Linked DNA regions of Drosophila melanogaster. The protein of the gene in region 4 interacts with the protein of the main gene of each other region in a pairwise test. Each region holds a gene or a part of one and is shown on either strand. Other genes may lie near its edges. The genes, in order: Traf-like, CG3342, Odj and CG8851.

What was found.
Region 1: the proteins of CG8851 (region 4) and Traf-like interact in a two-hybrid assay, tested with the Drosophila melanogaster proteins (2 studies listed by BioGRID).
Region 2: the proteins of CG8851 (region 4) and CG3342 interact in a two-hybrid assay, tested with the Drosophila melanogaster proteins (2 studies listed by BioGRID).
Region 3: the proteins of CG8851 (region 4) and Odj interact in a two-hybrid assay, tested with the Drosophila melanogaster proteins (2 studies listed by BioGRID).

The regions. Positions count from the first base shown.
Region 1 is NC_004354.4:16,413,481-16,418,120, forward strand, and holds Traf-like (TNF-receptor-associated factor-like), read left to right. Parts: upstream 1-1,565; 5' UTR 1,566-1,943; coding exon 1,944-2,105; coding exon of another isoform or gene 2,106-2,176; coding exon 2,177-2,605; intron 2,606-2,674; coding exon 2,675-3,083; intron 3,084-3,138; coding exon 3,139-3,254; intron 3,255-3,314; coding exon 3,315-3,623; 3' UTR 3,624-4,105; downstream 4,106-4,640. Other genes in the region: CG4301 (uncharacterized protein), read left to right, coding at 1-149, 214-540, 607-820; AnxB11 (annexin B11), read right to left, coding at 4,350-4,415, 4,476-4,544, 4,601-4,640.
Region 2 is NC_004354.4:6,525,600-6,529,836, reverse strand, and holds CG3342 (uncharacterized protein), read left to right. Parts: upstream 1-1,948; 5' UTR 1,949-2,033; coding exon 2,034-2,086; intron 2,087-2,160; coding exon 2,161-3,469; 3' UTR 3,470-3,731; downstream 3,732-4,237. Other genes in the region: Agxt (Alanine-glyoxylate aminotransferase), read right to left, coding at 1-270, 572-721; CG3918 (uncharacterized protein), read right to left, coding at 4,111-4,237.
Region 3 is NT_033777.3:17,806,865-17,810,864, forward strand, and holds Odj (oddjob), read right to left. Parts: upstream 2,359-4,000; 5' UTR 2,254-2,358; coding exon 2,137-2,253; intron 2,083-2,136; coding exon 1,352-2,082; intron 1,292-1,351; coding exon 1,172-1,291; intron 1,115-1,171; coding exon 790-1,114; 3' UTR 543-789; downstream 1-542. Other genes in the region: CG17801 (uncharacterized protein), read right to left, coding at 1-25, 83-205; Alg1 (ALG1, chitobiosyldiphosphodolichol beta-mannosyltransferase), read right to left, coding at 2,716-2,935, 2,994-3,554, 3,616-4,000.
Region 4 is NT_033779.5:3,517,952-3,523,112, forward strand, and holds CG8851 (uncharacterized protein), read left to right. Parts: upstream 1-1,725; 5' UTR 1,726-1,760; coding exon 1,761-1,997; intron 1,998-2,270; exon of another isoform or gene 2,271-2,427; coding exon 2,428-3,357; intron 3,358-3,416; coding exon 3,417-4,421; 3' UTR 4,422-4,604; downstream 4,605-5,161. Other genes in the region: CG3213 (uncharacterized protein), read right to left, coding at 1-1,512; Sr-CIV (scavenger receptor class C, type IV), read right to left, coding at 4,643-5,126.

The DNA.
Region 1 (4,640 bases), on a different chromosome or scaffold from region 4:
ATGTTCCTGTTCCAGTTTCACACGCTGTTCTCCTCATCCTCCGTCTACGATTCGCTATTCCTTACCTTGTACAATGTGATATACACCTCGCTGCCCATTTTGTTCATAGCTATCTCCGAGAAGCCATACACCGAGGAGAAGTTGATGAGGTAACAGTGGGTTCAATCGTTTATATGTATAATGTTGATGTTACTAAAAATGCAACTTGAACAGAACGCCACAGCTTTACAAGAAGAACACGGACAACAAGCAGCTCCACTGGCCGTACTTCCTGATGTGGGTCCTATTTGCGATCTACCACAGTGTCATCATATTCTACTTCGCCTTCTGCTTCTTCTACTACAACAACGTTCTCCTGAACTACGGACAGACGGTGGCCTTCTCCTGCTTCGGCACCCTCCTCATGTGGACGGTGGTGGTGGTCGTGAACCTTAAGCTCTGGCTCGAGTCAATGTATCTGTCCTTTTGGTATATATTCACCATTATCATTTCCATTTTGGGCTTTGTAGTCACAACGGTTATCTACAACGTTATCAATCTGTGAGTTCATGGCTACGAATGTATCCATTTAAGGTTTAAACTAATATGTATATGTATTATTTGCAGGGACTACGACACCGACATCTACTGGGCCTACAACAATCTGTTGGCCTCACTGCCAGTCTGGCTGTGGATCATAGTGACCTGTGTGGCCTGCCTGGTACCCGACTATACCATCCGAATGCTCCAGAGGGCGCTCAACATAAAGAGTTTCAGCATTTTTCCCGGAAAACAACGGAAACTTAAGATGCGCGAGAAGTTTGAGTCCACATACTTGTAATCGTCGATTAGGCTATAGTTTTTATACCCCTAATTTATTTATTTCCTCATGTATACAATTTTTTTTTTTTTTGTTAGATAAACAAATTTTTGTTAAACGTTTGAACAATAGATTTGATTTCTGACCACCACCTTAGAGGTAGGAAAGTATCTCAACTTCCCAAATGGAGAACCTTGAAATCGTATGCTAACACTCGCAATCAACTGGGAAGTACGACATTTTAGGCTGATAACATTTTTATCATAATCTCGGCGACTTATTGAGAGCAAGTGCAACTACACTTGGAAAAATGGTTCGTTTACGAAAATGCTGGGTTTCAATACAGCTACACGATACAAACATCTAATTAATAAAGGATTTATTTAATATTTTTCCTACATCGGATATTGTTTAAAAATATATACGAAAGTATATAGCCCGTTTTTATCACAGTTTAGCCGTTGCCCCACTTTTGATACCATAAAGTAGGGCGGCGAGTCAGTAAATGTACTTCAATCCCGATCCACATATGTGTACGTAGGGCACCTGTTGGTTCGGCCATACCCACTGCCACGCCCACGATCACTGCCGCCCACCACATTGTTATCTAGTTGATGGCGTCGTTACCATTTGCATTGCCGAGGCAATGGACAAAGTTTTGATTGTGAAGCCCGTTTTTCATTGATAATGTTATCTCCACTCGCATTCCGAATATGTTTGTACAAGGGGAGCTAGAGATATGAACATTTTGCAGGTACATATGTGGCCATATAGTCGCTGGAAGATCTGGTGACGGTTACGATTTTAGTGGATTCTCGGTGGCTGTGTTTTCCTGGTCGTAGTTCGCCAAGTTAGTGGTCAATACGATTCGTTGGTTGCTCTCGCATTTCGAAATAGTGGTAATCGCACCAAATGGCAGTGCTATCAGTTCGAGGTTGTCGTATAGATTCCCATGGACGCCCTAATGCTAACACATGTGCAAAGCTATATCTAAACCATGTCTGTGTGCGCCGCGTATGACTATGCCCAAGGAAATTCTTAATCATTTTTGGCTGAGTTTAGTGTGCATAGGGCGGTGCTCGCAGCGCCAGAGAATTTGCTGATCCAAAGTTTCAATCGAATTTGCTTTCCTTTAATCAATATAATGTCACTGACCAAGTCGTCGTCGAGAAAGGATCTAACCGAGCAGAATCAGTATCAGAATCAGAATGAGAATCAGAATCAGCCCAAATCGACGACCATAGTCAAGTATGAGAAGTCGTCGTGCCTCTTCTGCAACGAATGGTTCGATGCCCAGACATTCACGGTTATAATCGTCCAACTTTTCAGTTCACCTTTGATTACTATTACATTACTCCTCTTTGGATGCGACTGCAGGAACACCTGATCCACTGCGGCCAGGTGCTGGAGGAGTGTCCCAACGGCTGTCAGGCCTTCATTCCACGCATCCGTATGCGATCCCATCTGAAGGAGTGTCCACGCAACCAGCACAATCTGAGCAATCAGCAACGCATGAGTGTCAGCATGGATCGCCTGGATAGGCAGTCGGATCAGCGTCTCCTGGTCATTGAACAGGACGTGGGCACCATTCGGTCCGTTCTCAACGAGGAGATACGACAGCGTTTGCATCTCATTACCGATGTGGGCAACATACGGAAGCAGAACCAGGTCGTCGAGGACTGGACCCGCGAAACCGAGAAGGCAATGGACGATCTGCGTCGCCAGATGGAGGAGGAAACCAATCGGAAGGCATTCGCCATCGAACAGAACCAGCTGGATGTCCAGTACTGCTGTGATATCACACAGGTTAGTTAATGCTACTTTATTTAAATATATATATACTATCTATCTTTAATGTGCATATCTCCGTCGAAGTCCTTGAAAGAGCAAGTGGAGTCCAGGCTGGATGAGGCCCAAAAGCTGGTCAATCAGCTCTCGGCGGACGTGACCTATCACCAGAATCAGCTAAACGACAATATCCTAAAGCTGGAGGAGCTGATCTTTGAGAACGAGCGGCTCAACAGGGAGAAGTTCTTTCAGATCGAGGAGTTTCTGCAGCAGATCAATGAGGACATCAAAACAAAGCTGGGCAACAGTGACTATGTGACGTCAAAGCAGGCCACATTGGACTATGAGGTGAAGAATGTGAAGAACATTGTGTGCGAAACGGAGGAACGTTGCGATAAATTGGATCGAGCACTTCACCAGACCATGCAGAATATATCGGATTTGGAGACCCAAATGGCCATGCAGCAGCGGATTGCCAGTGTCCAGAATATAAGGGGTACATATTGTTGGTTCAATATAGTAATTTAAATATATAATATCTGGTCGTACAGGACACTTGATTTGGCGCATCAAGGATTACTCGAAAAAACTGGAAGAGTCCAAGCAGTACGACACCATCCTCCATAGCGCCATGTTCTCCAATAAAGCCTTTGGCTATGCTCTACGGGTGAGTTGAGGTTGGATCTTGGTTGGATATGCCATTTATATATGTATACCCCATTACTAGCTGGATATATACTTGAATGGCAAGGGCACCTGGAAGGGCAGGAACATGATCGCCTGCTTGAACGTTCTATCCGGAGAGTACGATCCCCTTCTGGCCTGGCCATGCCGCCTTCAGGCCGAGATCATCATCCGGGATCAGTGCACGAATGTGGCAGATGCCGAGGATTATGTGAAGACCATCTTTGTGCGCAAGAAGAGCGATGATTTTATCCAAAGCAACCAGTACTTCCATATACCACACAAGGTAATCACCAGTCGCAACTATCTTCGCAACGATTCCATGTTCATCGAGGTTCGAGTTCTAAAATAAAACCCATGCAGCATCGCTATCCCACCCACCAGGAGCGATAAGAAAAAAAAAATCCAATTGCGGATTGTCACATACATAAAACATAATTTATTCCATTGAGAGCGAACTGGAAGTTAAAAACCCGCTTACAAACACGAGTATGTGTACATATATAGTGTATAAGTGCATACGAATCGATTCATCGTTTCAATATGCGTATATTGTAGTTTTAAATGTCATTGCAGTTTTAAATGCTTTTTTTCAAATTAGGCAATAGTCACATTGAGGCACTGTCGAGACGAAGTCGGTAGTTAGAAAGCATAGCTTTTATTGCAACATTTCCCTGGTCACTTTGTCAAGATATAAGCAACTCTTTCATTTTTTGGTTTTTCATTTCGAGCAAATTAACAAGCGATTTTTGAGAGGAACTTCCATATTATTTGTCTTTACGAACGCATTTAAATACAAAGGTCTTTTAATAAAATACAACTTCAACACTTGTCAACTGTCGGTTCCCATGTTCATTTCTTTGAAAGAGGTATCAAATGTCTGATCCCGTTCAGGTATTATTTGTGTGCACTTATAGTCTACGTTGTGGATCATAATTGTCTGGCTTCGTTGGCGTGTTCTTGTATGTTGTATGCATTTAAATGAACGAATACATAGAAGAGATAATACATATTCGAATAATTGATTTCACGTCGGATTTGGTTTGAATAATACATATATATGTATATGCGGAGATTCTTAAGAGGAGCGCTGTTCACCCACCAGGGCATAAAGGGCGTGCTTGTAGTGGCCCGAAGTATCGCCCTGCAAGTAGGATTTTATATGATTATAGAATATAGATATAGATAGATATATATATCTTACCTTGATCCAGCTCTTGAGGGACTTGCCGTACAGACGTTCGAACGCTACCTTAATGTCCGTCATATCAATCTGAAAAACGTTGCAACATTTTAGGGTTGAATGATATTATATATAGATGTACTTACCTCGCTGCGCGTGATGATCACACGGATCAACTGGGTGTCA
Region 2 (4,237 bases), on a different chromosome or scaffold from region 4:
CGCCTCGAAGGCGAATGTGATCTCTTCGTGCGACAGTGCCCGGCCGAAACTCGCCTCCACGTAGTGAACTTCGGCACCATAGCGACGGGCCATATCCCCGGCCCGATGACCCCAGACGCCCGTGATGCCCATGAGCACCACATCGCCATCCTCGATCAGATTGCACAGAGCGGCCTCCATGCCCGAGTGGCCGGCGCCGCTGATGCACATGGTGGCATCGTTGAGTGTCTGAAAGATGTACTTAATGCCCTCCTTCACCTCGTCCATGATCTGCAGATATACAGAGATTAATATACAAACACCTGGCCATGCTCAGTGGGAATAGCTCAATTCATGGGGGGATCACTAATATTAGATTGCTATAAAGTATAAGAGATGTGCTGGTTTCACTCGACTGGCTAGCCCACAGATCTCTGACCCAGCTCAGCAAATGTATCTCAATGTTTCACTTCGTTCAGATAAGGTACAGTGCGGCCCATGAGTATATGGACTTGGGCTTAACTTTTCGATATAATTCGAGTATTAAGCTCAATCTTGCTAGCACTTTTGTGGTTTTAAGAAGATATTGTACCTGCAGGCATTCGGGATGCATGTGACCCAACACCGGATTGCTCATGGCCTCCAGGACGCGATGGGAACAGTTGGAGGGTCCGGGCCCCATCAACGTCTTGCTGGGCACATAGAGCGGTCGCTTGAGTACAAGTGGCGGTGGTACCTCCATGGTCTTTGTTCCCTATTTACGTAATCAGATCTCTGTGTTTACGACTGCCTTATCGCCTTCTGCTCTCTAATCCGCTGTGCCAGGTAGAATGGGTGTTACTACTGTTTGGTGATGGGAGTTGGTTTTTATGGGCTGTCTCTCTCGGTGGCTGGCCAAGATCGGACTGAAACGCTTGCCGGGCTGCTGGCCACTTTATAGCGCACCGGATCGCAGCTTATCGCCGCAATTTTCGCCGATGAACGCACTTGAACAAGTGGTAAATGATGCGCTCTCCCGCTTATCAAGGCATCAAGATCGAGAGCAACTGCGTCGTTGGCGGCACAGAACGAAATTTGGAATAAGAATAATAAGTTAAGACTGCCATTTGATGGGTCAAAAAATCATACACAGTTTTAAGACAAGATCTTTACGAAATAATATGACTTACTACTCAATTAATTTCATTGTTAATCTGAAAGAAGTACCATTTTTTGTTTGCAGTGTGCTGCTGCTGATTCTTTGAATGGCCTTGGGAAGGTTGGCGGACCAATGTCTATTGTGAAATAAGAAATCCAGCGAATTCAGCAAGACGAACCTTGACTGTGGGTACGTATACGTAATGTAGCAACTTCTTTTTCGAAGCTGGAAGCATCTGCAGAGTGCAGAGATCAAGATCTAGCATCTAGATCTTAATTCTCTCGAAATCTCAGCCCACTGACAACTAACATTTGGGTTGATAGCAGTGCCCGTATCGTCAGTTTTTCCATTAGCGATTTGGAGTGGAAAACACATCGTGACCAGGAGGTCAACCGCCAATAATACAAATGTCGTATTGAGTGGCCGAAAATATTTATTACCATTTCGCTGGTGGTGAAATTAGAATCAAAATAAAAACAAAAACATAGATTTAGGAAAGTGATAAGCAGTCAAATTAGCAGGTCGTGACTATAAAATTTAAATGTTCGTTTAAATATTGATTGATTTTTCCATATTTAAGGCACAAGCATCTTTTTAAAAACATTGTTTCGAATGTAGAAGTAAGTTCAGTTTGGTTTTAATATATTGAATTAATTATATTGAAACGAATTGAATATAGAATATATATTCTATTACAGTTGACTATATTAAACATATATATGTATAAATATGTTTATTTTATGGCCTTTTTGCTTAATATTTAGTTATAATATTTTATAATTTTCCTGAAAGCAATTCACCGGTGGAAACAAGTTTTCTTCGTTTTGGCGCTTGGTCACACTTTCTGTTTCGGTCAAAACAAACTGAACAATAGTTAATGTTTTTAAACATTTTCGATGCGACTGCATAATTAGGCATGGAAATCGGCAACGATCAGTCCTATCAGGACTTCTTCGACAAGTTGCGAAGGTGAGTCTGTTTCTGGACGGGATTGGGACACTTGGCACAGTGGTATATACATATTAAATATATATGAACTCCAGTGAATCGGGTCCTCGCAACTTGCGCCAGATCTTTGAGGACGACGATCGTCCGCTGGCGAACGAATCATCCAGCTTGCGCTATCAGCCAGGCAGCTCCAAAAAATTGCAGGCTGGCAAAAGACCGGCCATGACCAGGAGTAGCACCCAGGAGACGGGTGATTCACCGCCTGCCGCCTGGAACACGGCCATTGCCAAGGTGGTGCATGCCTATCGGAGCAGCGAGAACGTTGGACGCGTCGGCCTGGCCCTCTCGATTCTGGGCGAGATGGAGGCCAGCAAGCTGATTGTCTACCGCAGCAAGAGTCAGGTGCTGACCACGCTGCAGTTGACACCGCGTGGCGGCAAGGTGATACTGCGCGAATCCTATCTGCAGTTCTACGATGACGAGCAGCGCTTCTGGAGCCTGCGATTCGACAAGGAACCGGATGAGAAGGAATTCATAACGTTTATGGTCAAAAACAAACTGCCAGTGGAGCACTATCTCAGCGAGATCTCATCCTCCAGCTCGGCATCGCCTTCGCGTGAGGATTTATCTAAGATCCGAACTAAAGCAACGGTCACAAAGACGACGCCTAATCCGCCACAGCCGCAACCACGTTCCCGCGTAACGCTGCCAACGCTGGAGAAGGCGGACGATGAGGAACGCGAACGGGAAACAGAGACACCTTCCAATGAGGATGTGATAGTAACGCCAGTGCCGCGACCCATAGGTTCGTCAAATGCTCACAGGAAACTCAGTGCCAGTTCCCTGGCGGTGGCCAACGCTTCAACGAGCAGCGATACTCCGTTGGCTGTGACGACACTGGACAAATATCTAGACGAACAGCGTGCCTCGGGTGCGTTAATGGAGCACAAGATGGACGCCATTCTGCAGGCCATGAATCGCATGGGCGGCCAGTCGAGTGTTGCGCCCAAGAAGCCCAGTGATCCGCTGCTGGAACGCGACAGCGAGGACGAGATGCTGGAGCTGGAGCAGAAGCTGCTCAACTTGAAGCGGGAGAATCGAGCGCTAATGCGCAACCTCAAGGCACGCGAACAGGCGCTGGAGGATCTACGCTGCTCGGCGTGCGCCCTTTGCGAGGAGCTACTAGTCCAGAATGGCGAGCTCAAGTCGCAGAATGCCCAGCTGTTGTTAGCCAGCCAGCATATTTCCGATTCAAGCACAGCTGCTTCGCCTGCCCATTGCCGCAATTGCGAGTCGTCTTCCCGGCAAATAGCCAAAATGCAGCTACACATTTCCGCACTGCAGGAAGCGCTGCGAATCTTTCAGAAATCAGGCGACTCCAGCTCCAGTTCGGGTCGGTTATAGCACCTAACGTAGGCGTATTATATATGTTCGGTATTACTATCGAAAAGTGTATTAAATCATTTGTTAGGTCGCGTAACATATCCACAAATACAAGCCAGACACTATTAGCTATCTTTAAGTCATTAGATTGCCATGTTATTGGGCTCATTTACAAAGCGATTTTCTAATCTATTACAACTATTATTACTAAATGTGAGATATAAAATATGTTGCGGAAGATTATAATTAATAGCAACCCATGCTTTGCTCTCTCTCAATTATGAAAAACTCCGACTTCCTCTTGTACAAACTAATTTGTTGTATTTGCAGCACACATCGGGCTGAAATTTAAGGTATAGGGACAAGTCTACGGTTTGCGCGTCTCATAATCCGTGGGAAGAGTTCATGGAGAAGTTGTTTTGGGGCCTGGAACTGGAAGTGGAACTGGCAGTCTCTCTGTGGAAGTGAGGAGCGGAAAGGATGGGCTGGCGGTCCTGCTCCTTTACGTTTTTACGGCTAAAATGGAAAGCGAGCTAGTTTGCGGAGCGAGTGCTTTGGGAGGCAGCTGTCTATCCATCCTGATGCTGATCCAGATCCAGATACAGATCCACATCTAGATTCTCTTGCTGATCCAGTTAATCCTTGTTTGTTTCTTTTCTTTCTCAGTAGGTGCTGCTGTCGCTGAGGCTGCTCAGGTAGCTGCTGCCGGCGGTCGGAGCACCGGATCCGCCGGCACGATGTCGCTTCCGCTTCGCCTTGGTCTTCTTGCGTCGCAGCATGGCCGTGTCC
Region 3 (4,000 bases), on a different chromosome or scaffold from region 4:
GCGGCTGGCGTTCATTCTGTTCTAACTGTAAATGGAGTAAATGGGTTATGCCATTCACGCACACAAGAAACCATCAACATACCCATATTCCAGTGAGATCCTTGATCTTGGCCAGAACTTCCAGGCAAAAAATTATCGTGGGATTCAGGTGACAGAAACACGAGGCGCACAAATGGCATTGCGAAGGCTTTTTCATTTCAAACATATGATCATTTATCCCGCTGAATTCCCAAAACAATCAGCTGTAGTTTAATTGATTTTATGTTGTCAATTATGGAATAAAAACGGTAAAAGAGCGTACGCAATCCGAGAATTTCTGTTTACTCTCTCTAAGCAGCAAAATTTGTATGAATTACCTGTTTCATGGCGTTACCAGATAGGTGTGGAAAAACTAACTGTTCTTATTTCCTAGAAACCAGGGAACATCGAGCTAGTTTTTATAATTTAAAATTTATATATTATAAACGGGAGGTTAAATTTTCCCAAAAAGAGAGGTTCAAGCTAAAACACACGTTCGGCTAATTCCTGACGTTTTTGAAATTGGTTCCATATAATTTTTATTAAAATAAGCGCGCTGTGCAATTAGAATAAAATATATTTTATAACAAATTGTAATCTAAGACCGACGTTGAATTCCTTCCACACTGGTGCTAATCGTACGGCTGGCTGGTGATTCAAAGGATTTCTCTGAACCACCGAAAAAGTCAGATAGTTTGCATCCCTGGCATTGTGGCGTGTGGAGTGTGGAGTGTGTGGCGCCAACAGTCGATTTTTTTTGTGTGCTTAAAGTTAGGTGTACAGCTCCTCTCCATCGGGAATGGCTTCCTCGTACTCGAAGTCCTCAAAATTTGCGTCCTCATCCTGAAGTACCTCGTGGTCCTCATATTGTTCCTCGTCAATGTTATCTAACATTACGTCCAGTTCAGCCTGGTTGTCCTCCATTTCTGCCTGCCCCTCTTCCATATATCCCGGAAACTCCGCCGGATCGACTTCAGACTGGAATTCCTCTTTTGGACCATTAACCAGCAAGTTGACCCGCTTGCGGTGATACTTTGTGGAGTAGTGCCGATGCAAAAACTGCGCCTCCTTGAACTCCTTGTTGCATGTGAGGCAGCTGTGAAAGAATATGAGTTTGTACATCTATGGCTACGTATATTTCAATGATTCTTACATATGGACATCCGGTTGGTCACTCTTGTGCCCCTCCTCGTGCTTCAGCCGTCCCTTCTCGCTGTTGAATCGTTTGCCGCATATTTTGCACGGGTGCACCAGCTCGTTGGCATGCATTTGACTGTCAAGGTTTTTATGGTTTATATAGATAAGGACTTGTGATGATTAGGCCAGCACTCACCGTTCATGACGACAGCGGCTGGGACTATTGGCGAATCCCATACCGCAGAACTTGCAGACGTACGGTTTCTCGCCCTTGTGATGGACTCGAATGTGCAATCGGAGCAGTGGCATGGTGTAGAACTTGCGACCGCACTCGTCGCATGAAAACTTCTCCTCGAAGTGCCGCAGCTTGTGATCCTTCATGTTGCTGTGATCGTTGAACGACCAACCGCACTGGTCGCACACGTATCGCTTTATCGAGCGATCGACCTTGGGTTTTGGTCGCCGCTTTCTGGGCTTTCGGACGTGCTCCCGCGGAGGTGGCGGTGGACTATCTGCCTTCTCGACCACAGGCACACGAAGCCGCTTGACCCTGACTCGTGGGGACTGTCTGTTCGGGAAATTTTGGTCCTCGATCCGGATTTTTTTGGCCGGAGGATATCTTAAAATCGGCTTTTCGTCCTCCAAGAAATCCTTATCATCATCCATTAAATCCTTATCATCGTCCAGTAGCTCCTTATCGTCCTCGGTGTCTACTGTATCATCCAGCACCTCCCGTTTCAGCAGCGGATCACTAAGCACTGGCGAAACCTCCGGGGAGCCTTTTGAGGCGACACCCGCCTTCGAGGAGATCCTCTGGTGGAGATTTGCGTGCGTCTCCAGGCATCGCTGCCTGAAGGCTACGGCTTGGGTCAGGTCCAGGAGACAACAAGCGCATATGTGCTGGGGCAGCATATTCTCTAAAACGATCTGGAAATGCATAGATTATGAATAATTCCGGACAACAAATAAAAGGGACGCCACCTCTAAGCCCGTGATTTGCTCGATGGCCATCCGAATGCGATGATTGCGCTTCTCGAAGATGTTCTTTGGGTGCGGCGTGAAGATGCGCTCGCCGCAGATCCGACACTCGGTGCTCATTCTTTCGAAACTAAATAAAATTGATTAATTTTAATTACAAATTATAGTAATTTTTGCGCAGCCGGTTTGGTTTTGAAGTGTGACCGTTGTCCGCAACTAGAGGTGTCAAACATTGATGTTTTTAAAATTTTCCGATATATCGATGTTTATTTCAGACTATCGATATTGGTGTTCAAATAAAAAAAAATCGGCACTGCATCCCGTGAATTTTCTTTTTTAATTGAAATACATAATACTCCTAAGAAAACACGCTTTACAAGCGAATAAATAGTTGTATATATCTCCTTTTTTTAGCAATTTATTTTTATCTTTAGGCTACGATTATAAAAATAAAATAAGCATCATAAGCAAGTTTGAAGCTCTTTTGTGTACAGAATTTGTAGTAACTAGCCTAGAAAAAGCGATTAGCAATCAAAGGAAGTCTCTCATAACGTGTAATTGTCAAATCTTTGTCAAAATGCTCTATAGAAATGCCTCCAGTACGGGGGCCGCGATCAGGCGCCAACTCTCCCGCCATCGCAGCTCCTGGAACTCCTGGATTTTGCGCTGAAAACCAGCTCTTGTCTCCAGGATGCTGGGATTCTTTGGAAAATTTTCGAACCAAATCCTCAGCTGCTCGGCCAGCTGAACATGGTCGCCAAACACGAAGCCATTCTCGCCGTGCTTCACCAGCTCATCCAGGCTAAAGAGCCATTTGTAGAAGTTAGTAAGTAATAATAGTAAATGGCAGGATTAGTTACCACTTGAAATCGTAGGCGCAGACAGGCAGCCCGCTGCCGAACATGTCGACCACCTTCATGGGCAGGTCGAGCCCACTGGTGCTCCAGTGCAGACACACGCCCAGGTCGGCGCTGGCCAGAACAGTGGGGTAGTCCTCGATCTCTAGCCAGGGCGTGATCACCGACACCTTCTGCCATTGCAGCTTCTCGATCTCCGCCACATAGTGCTCCTTTTGTGGCCCCTTTCCGGTGATGATACACAGCAGGGAAGGATAAACCAACGGCTCTGCTTGCGCAGTCTCCTCGTAAGCTTGCAAAGCCTTAAGCAGTATACCGAAGTCCTCGTCCGGCGTCCAACTGGTGCTGGAAACCAGCACGGCTTGTCGCTGTGGTCTGTACTGCACAACACCGCTGGCCAGCTTTTGGGTAAGAGCGGTGGCCTCCAGAACATCGGATTGTTCGGCGTCCTTGGCCTGGAACTGTGGGTAGTCTTTGGCCAGCTTCAGGTACAGCTCGTGCTTGTGAGTCAAGTCGATGGGATGGAATTGCGCGGGCGCACGATCATACAGAACTTTGACAGGCCTGAAAGATGAGTCGCGGCTGAGTTATTTACTTCGTTTAGATGGATGTGATGAGGACTTACCCAATGCCCCAGTTTTGCTGCAGATCCTCTTGCATGGCCCGCGTCACACAGAAGTGTGTGTGTGCCTTGGAGCCGAAGTATCGCTCCAGTCGCCTAACCAATCGTATTAGAGGACTCTGCTCTCCCTTCGACATTCCCAATGCCAGCACTGTGTACGTGTAGTTGTGCCAATCGATGGCCAGCTTGGTTCGTGTGACCGCACAGTACAGATAGCACACAATCAGCGTGGGAATGCCGGGCGGATTCTGGACGAGTAGGAAGCTGGGACGGCCAATGGAGATGAGAGCCATCAGCAGACTGAGCGTCTGCCAAAAGGCCTTGAAGAGCAGGCGCAGTTTGGGTGTTAGGTTCGTCACTGGGACGGCAGTTAGCTCGTGGATTCGGC
Region 4 (5,161 bases):
CAGCTGCTCGTTCTCTAAGAGCTTGGGGAAGTGCAGTAACTCGTTCAGTTTCTCTTGGAACTTAGCTCGAATCTCTTTGACCTCCGTGTTGATCTGCTGTTCGATTCGTTTGTTGTTCATGTTCAGCTTCTCTAGGGAGACGCACTGTTCCTCGACCTTCTGCTGGGCCAGCAGGTACTTGTTGCGGTAGTCCTCTAACTGCTGCGACTGCTCCTTCATGATGCACTTGAACTCCAGCTGCTCCTCCTTGAGCTCGTTGACCCGCGCTCGAAGTAGATTCAGCTCGGCGGCATCGGCATCCCCGTCGCCCCCTTTCGATGGACAGGGACCACAGATACCCTTCATTCGCTTCTGCATCTCCTTCATCTGGCAGTCCTTGCGCTGAAACTCGGTTAGCAGCCTGGTGTAGTTCTCCTTCATCTTCTCGTACTTGTCGGCCTTGGTGTTCCGCTTTCCGCCGCAGATGACCAGTGGGTCTGGATCCTCGGGACACGGCGGCCTGGGAGGACACGGCCTGGAGCAGGGGTCCTCCTCTCCTTCATCGTCATCGTCGTCGACGTCACAGGGTTCGGACGCATCCCGATTGCTCACCTCCTGGAGCAACTTCTTCACCGAGGTCTGCATGCATTGGATGCGCCGCTTCAGTTTCTCCAAGGACTCGCACTTGCCCGGTGGCTGGGGCTGGGGCTGGGGGCAGGGAGCCTTCTGAGCCTTCCGTTTGGCTGGACAGGGAGGAGGACATGGGGCAATGCTGCTGCTGCTGCTCTCCGGGCAAGGACCTTGGCAAGGACCCGGACAGGGTGGTGGCGGACAGGGACCCGGAACGCATACCGGCTGCTTCTTGCAGCTCATTATAGCGCAGGCGATCTCTTCGATCATCTTCTTGTCCTCAGGACAAGCGCCCTTCATCTTCTGCATGGCCTTTTGCAGAGCGCAGATCAACTTGTCGTCCTGACCAGCCATGTCCCGTTGACCTCCACCGCCTCCGCCGCCACCACAAACACTGGCACACGAGCTAGGCTCTTCGCTACAGGGATCCGTGGCGCTGCCAGCTGGAGCACAAGGACCGATGCCACACATATACGGTGACAGGTTGTCCTCGTCGACGGTGGTGGTCATGGCCAGCTCCTTGTAGTGCCGATGGGAGCCGAAGTTTTGCAGCTGCACCGCTCTGTTCATCATGGTGTGCAGCTTAATGTTCTCCTGCTCCATGCAAATCCTCAACCGCTTGATCTCGCGCAGTTCGTTGCGGGTCTTGCAGGGCTTGGCGCACATGTCCATGATGTTGCTCTTGATGTCCTGGATGATCTTGTTCTGGCAATCGATCTCCTTGATCAGCGCCAGGTACTCCATGTACATGCGCTTCTGCTCGGGATCGTCGGAGGACTCGCCCAGCTTGGAGAAGAGGTCCTCGTCGGGCCCCTCCTCCATCATGTGCTGTTCGCCAAGGTACTGGTTCTCATCGTCCTCGTACTCGCCGCCCTCATCGGTGTACTCTGTGTTCTCTGCCATCGCGATTTAGATTCACTTATCGATGCGGCCAAAAATTGTATGGTTAAAATTTTTTTTTTTTTTTTTTTATATTTGGCTAGATTTACTAACGATTTTAAGGTACGTATATTCTGCGAAAATTTTAACACATACTCTGAAAAAATTTCGAAACAAGTTTTGGGAAGAATAAGTTGTTTTCTTCGTGATCGAATAAAATGAACTGAAAAATCCACGGACATTCGCCCTGGGCAGTTGGCAACAGATTTGGAATGGCCTGCTTCGACTTGGGAGAATCGAACGAAAGATCCCGGAGAACTGGATTGGGATCGAGGACTTGCTTTGTCGAGGTGGATTACCGGAGTCCTCCCTCCCAGGATGGTCAGGAATGTGTCCTTCGGGAGGAGTGTGTATCGAGGCATCTATTCGGCGAAACAAACAACTATATTTACTACTGCCGCTACTTGAATTGGTTCAAAATCAAAACACAGTGCGACTTGAAGGAAATGGTATATCTTAATAAATAATTTTAAATCTATTCGAAAATATGTTATGAGAATCTACCTGTATCCTTTACTAACATAAAAGTATGAAAATGTTTTACGGTGAAATGGGAAATTTAAAGGGCAATCAGTAGGAATATACATATATAAATTATCACTCTACTGGGAGATGTGGTTTATTATCTAAAACTATTATATAAACCTTAAGGATATAATCAATCCTCGAACAGCGATATTTTCCAGAAGGCAAATGCCATTCGAGTAGGCGTAACGCCCAATTTTCTATCAAATAATTTTCGTCACGTCCTACGTAAAATTAATATTTTTGGGAATTGAATGTGTCACATAAGGTTTTTAAAAAAATTCTCTGTTCGCCAAAAACAGTGCAAAAAATTACACAAGTGCAACATTAACCAAATAGGCTAAATTTTCGTAGATGTTAAAGCCATCCAGGCGACCATTAGCCAACAGACAACGATCACTTCGATTCCGTCCACAGAATCGCAAAGGAACATCATCTAGTAACACCTCAATGGGACTGGACTTCGAGCTGGATGAGAAGAACGAAGATCAGGCAGATGAAAATGAAAAGAGTAGCTATGTCAGCCTCTCCAGGCCGAGCTCCAAAGTACTAGATACGAGAAGTGCCAGTAGCTTGGACTTCGGGGACCACTGTAGTCCCAGTATAACAAAATTACCCAAGAACAGCAGGGAAGGTAAGGAGGTCAGCCTAATCATGAGTGATGAAGAGCCGGAAGATTACAGAAAGGGTTTGGGCTCGAAGAGGAGGTTGCCAGACTCGGAAGCCCTTGGCAGCAAGCTAAAGGAGGAACTCTGCAAGTACAAGCAGGAGCTCAAGGACTACAACGAAAGCACCAAGGATCTGGAGGAGAAGTACATGAAAATTAACTACGAGCTGTGCGAAATGCAGCAGAAGCACGATCAGTTCGTGTCCAGCAGGAAGCAGGCCCAGCAAATGGATCTGGGAAGTGAGCCCGATCCGGATGGATTTTATAGCTCTGCCAGCAGTGTCACCTCGCAGACGACCATCAGACGAAAGAGCCCCCAAATCCTGCGCAGCAATACCAGTTTCATGACCGTTCTATCGGGCCAGAGTTCCTGCGACGAAATCGATAGAAAGAAATACGCGTCCGAAAGGAGTACTCATCAGCAGAATCACCATCGGCACAAGGACGATCTGCCATCACAGGTGAACAGCGTTTTTGACAGCCGTATTGTGGAAACACTGGCGAACCGTCACGTGAAGCGCAGGAAGAGATCCTTGGAGCAGGACGATCGGGAAAGGGAGCCAGCATCCTTCAAGGATGTGTACAATGTGCTGAAGGATGTGATCAACACCTCACAGGTATGAATTAGCTGTTAGCTAAATGGAATATAAAAACTTAAACCTTCTTCCTTAATCAGGATCAGAAGTACAAGCATGAACGGGATCGAGGTAGGGACAGAGACAGGGACAGGGACTCTGGAGATATAAGCCAGCTCCTTACCACCATTAAGGGACTGAAGAGCGAGCAGGTCCAGTTTCGAACTCTCATTCGGCAGCAGCAGGAGAGAATATCGGACTACCACACGCGGTGTGTGAAAGCCCAGGACATCATGAGCACCCAGAAGCAGGAGATCGAGAAGCTGCACGTGAATAACAAGCAGTTGGAGTCGAGCATCTACCATGACATAGACAGTCTGCGATCCAAGATAGACAACAAACTGAAAAGTGTCTCCCATTTGCCGAAGATGATGCGAGACGAGCACTCCAAGTACGAGACGGTAATGCGGGAAAATTGTCTGCTGGCGGATAAACTTCATGCCCTCCAACAGGAAGCCATGCAGCTGAAGGTCAAAATAGATGAACTGGGCCGCCGAAAGTTGGTCACCATCAACCGGCTGAAGGCCGCCGAAAGGGATCTGAAGATCTTTAAGAACTACAACTCGGCCTTGAAGACGGAGAAGCGGAAACTGACCCAGGAGCTGTCCACCATGAAGGATCAGCTGGAGCAGCTCCAGGCGAGCAGCAAAAGGCAACTTTCCCGCCATCGCGAGCAGAGCGAAAAGCAGCGCAGGGATCTGCAGAAGAAGATCTACGACCTCGAACTGAAGCTGAGTAGGAGCCAAAACTCGACGTCCAGTTTGATCCAGGAACGGGATAGTCTGATAGCTGAGCTCCAGACGCAACTCCACACCCTGGTCCACAACTTCGAGGTCTCGCAGAAACACATAAGGGTTCTCCGGCGGCACATCTACTCCATGACGAATCAGGGTGGCACGGGCATCGTTGGCAGTGGGTCGGCTGGCATTGCCCACTTGACATCAGGTGGTTCCCATCGACCCAGTCTGATCAGGATCAATCAGCTGCCCCAGGGAACCAGCAACGGTCGATTTGCAGCCCCCCGAACTCTGAAGGCGACGATCTAAACGGGGATCTGGACTGGACTGCCTAGACCTAGGCACTAGATTGGGCTCATCAGCTGTCCAGGCAACTTGAAGGTACTGCTCCCAGCACTTGGACTATGCCATCAAGTTGCCTGGACATTATCAGCCCTTATTAAGCCACCAATTATTTCACTCTAATGATTATGTAAACTCATTTTTAAAAGTACTTTTAATGATTCGGTTAAATGTATTGGGATAGGAACTTATTTAGGTACGACAGTCACATTACTATCACCGCTCCAAAGATTCCAAAGCCTCCAGAATTTGAGTTCATTATACGGAGCTATGACCAGATCTTTATGGCACTCCTTGACATAATTTAGGCAACAATTGCCGTTCACCAGACATGATTCTTGGCATCGACACCCTTCATTGATGTACCTTCCCCGAACAAAGTCCTGACCACAACGACCAGAGCAGTCGGTCATTTGGTAGCCCAGTGAATCCGTGATATCCGATTCTTCTATTGGTTTTTTTGGTTCCTCGATGAAGGTAGACCTCCTGGCACATTCCTTAGCTGCCATCAGCTTCACGTCGTCGATGGCAATATCTCCGTATTGGGACCTCGCATCCGTGGCGGTAAAGATCACTTGGAAGTCCTCATCCATCTTATTGATATCGATCGTGTGCTCCAGCCACCTGGCACCTTGTGATCCAGTCATCACGAATTGGTCGAACTTGTAGGGACTAAAAAATCATATTGCTGTATAAGGCAAACTTAA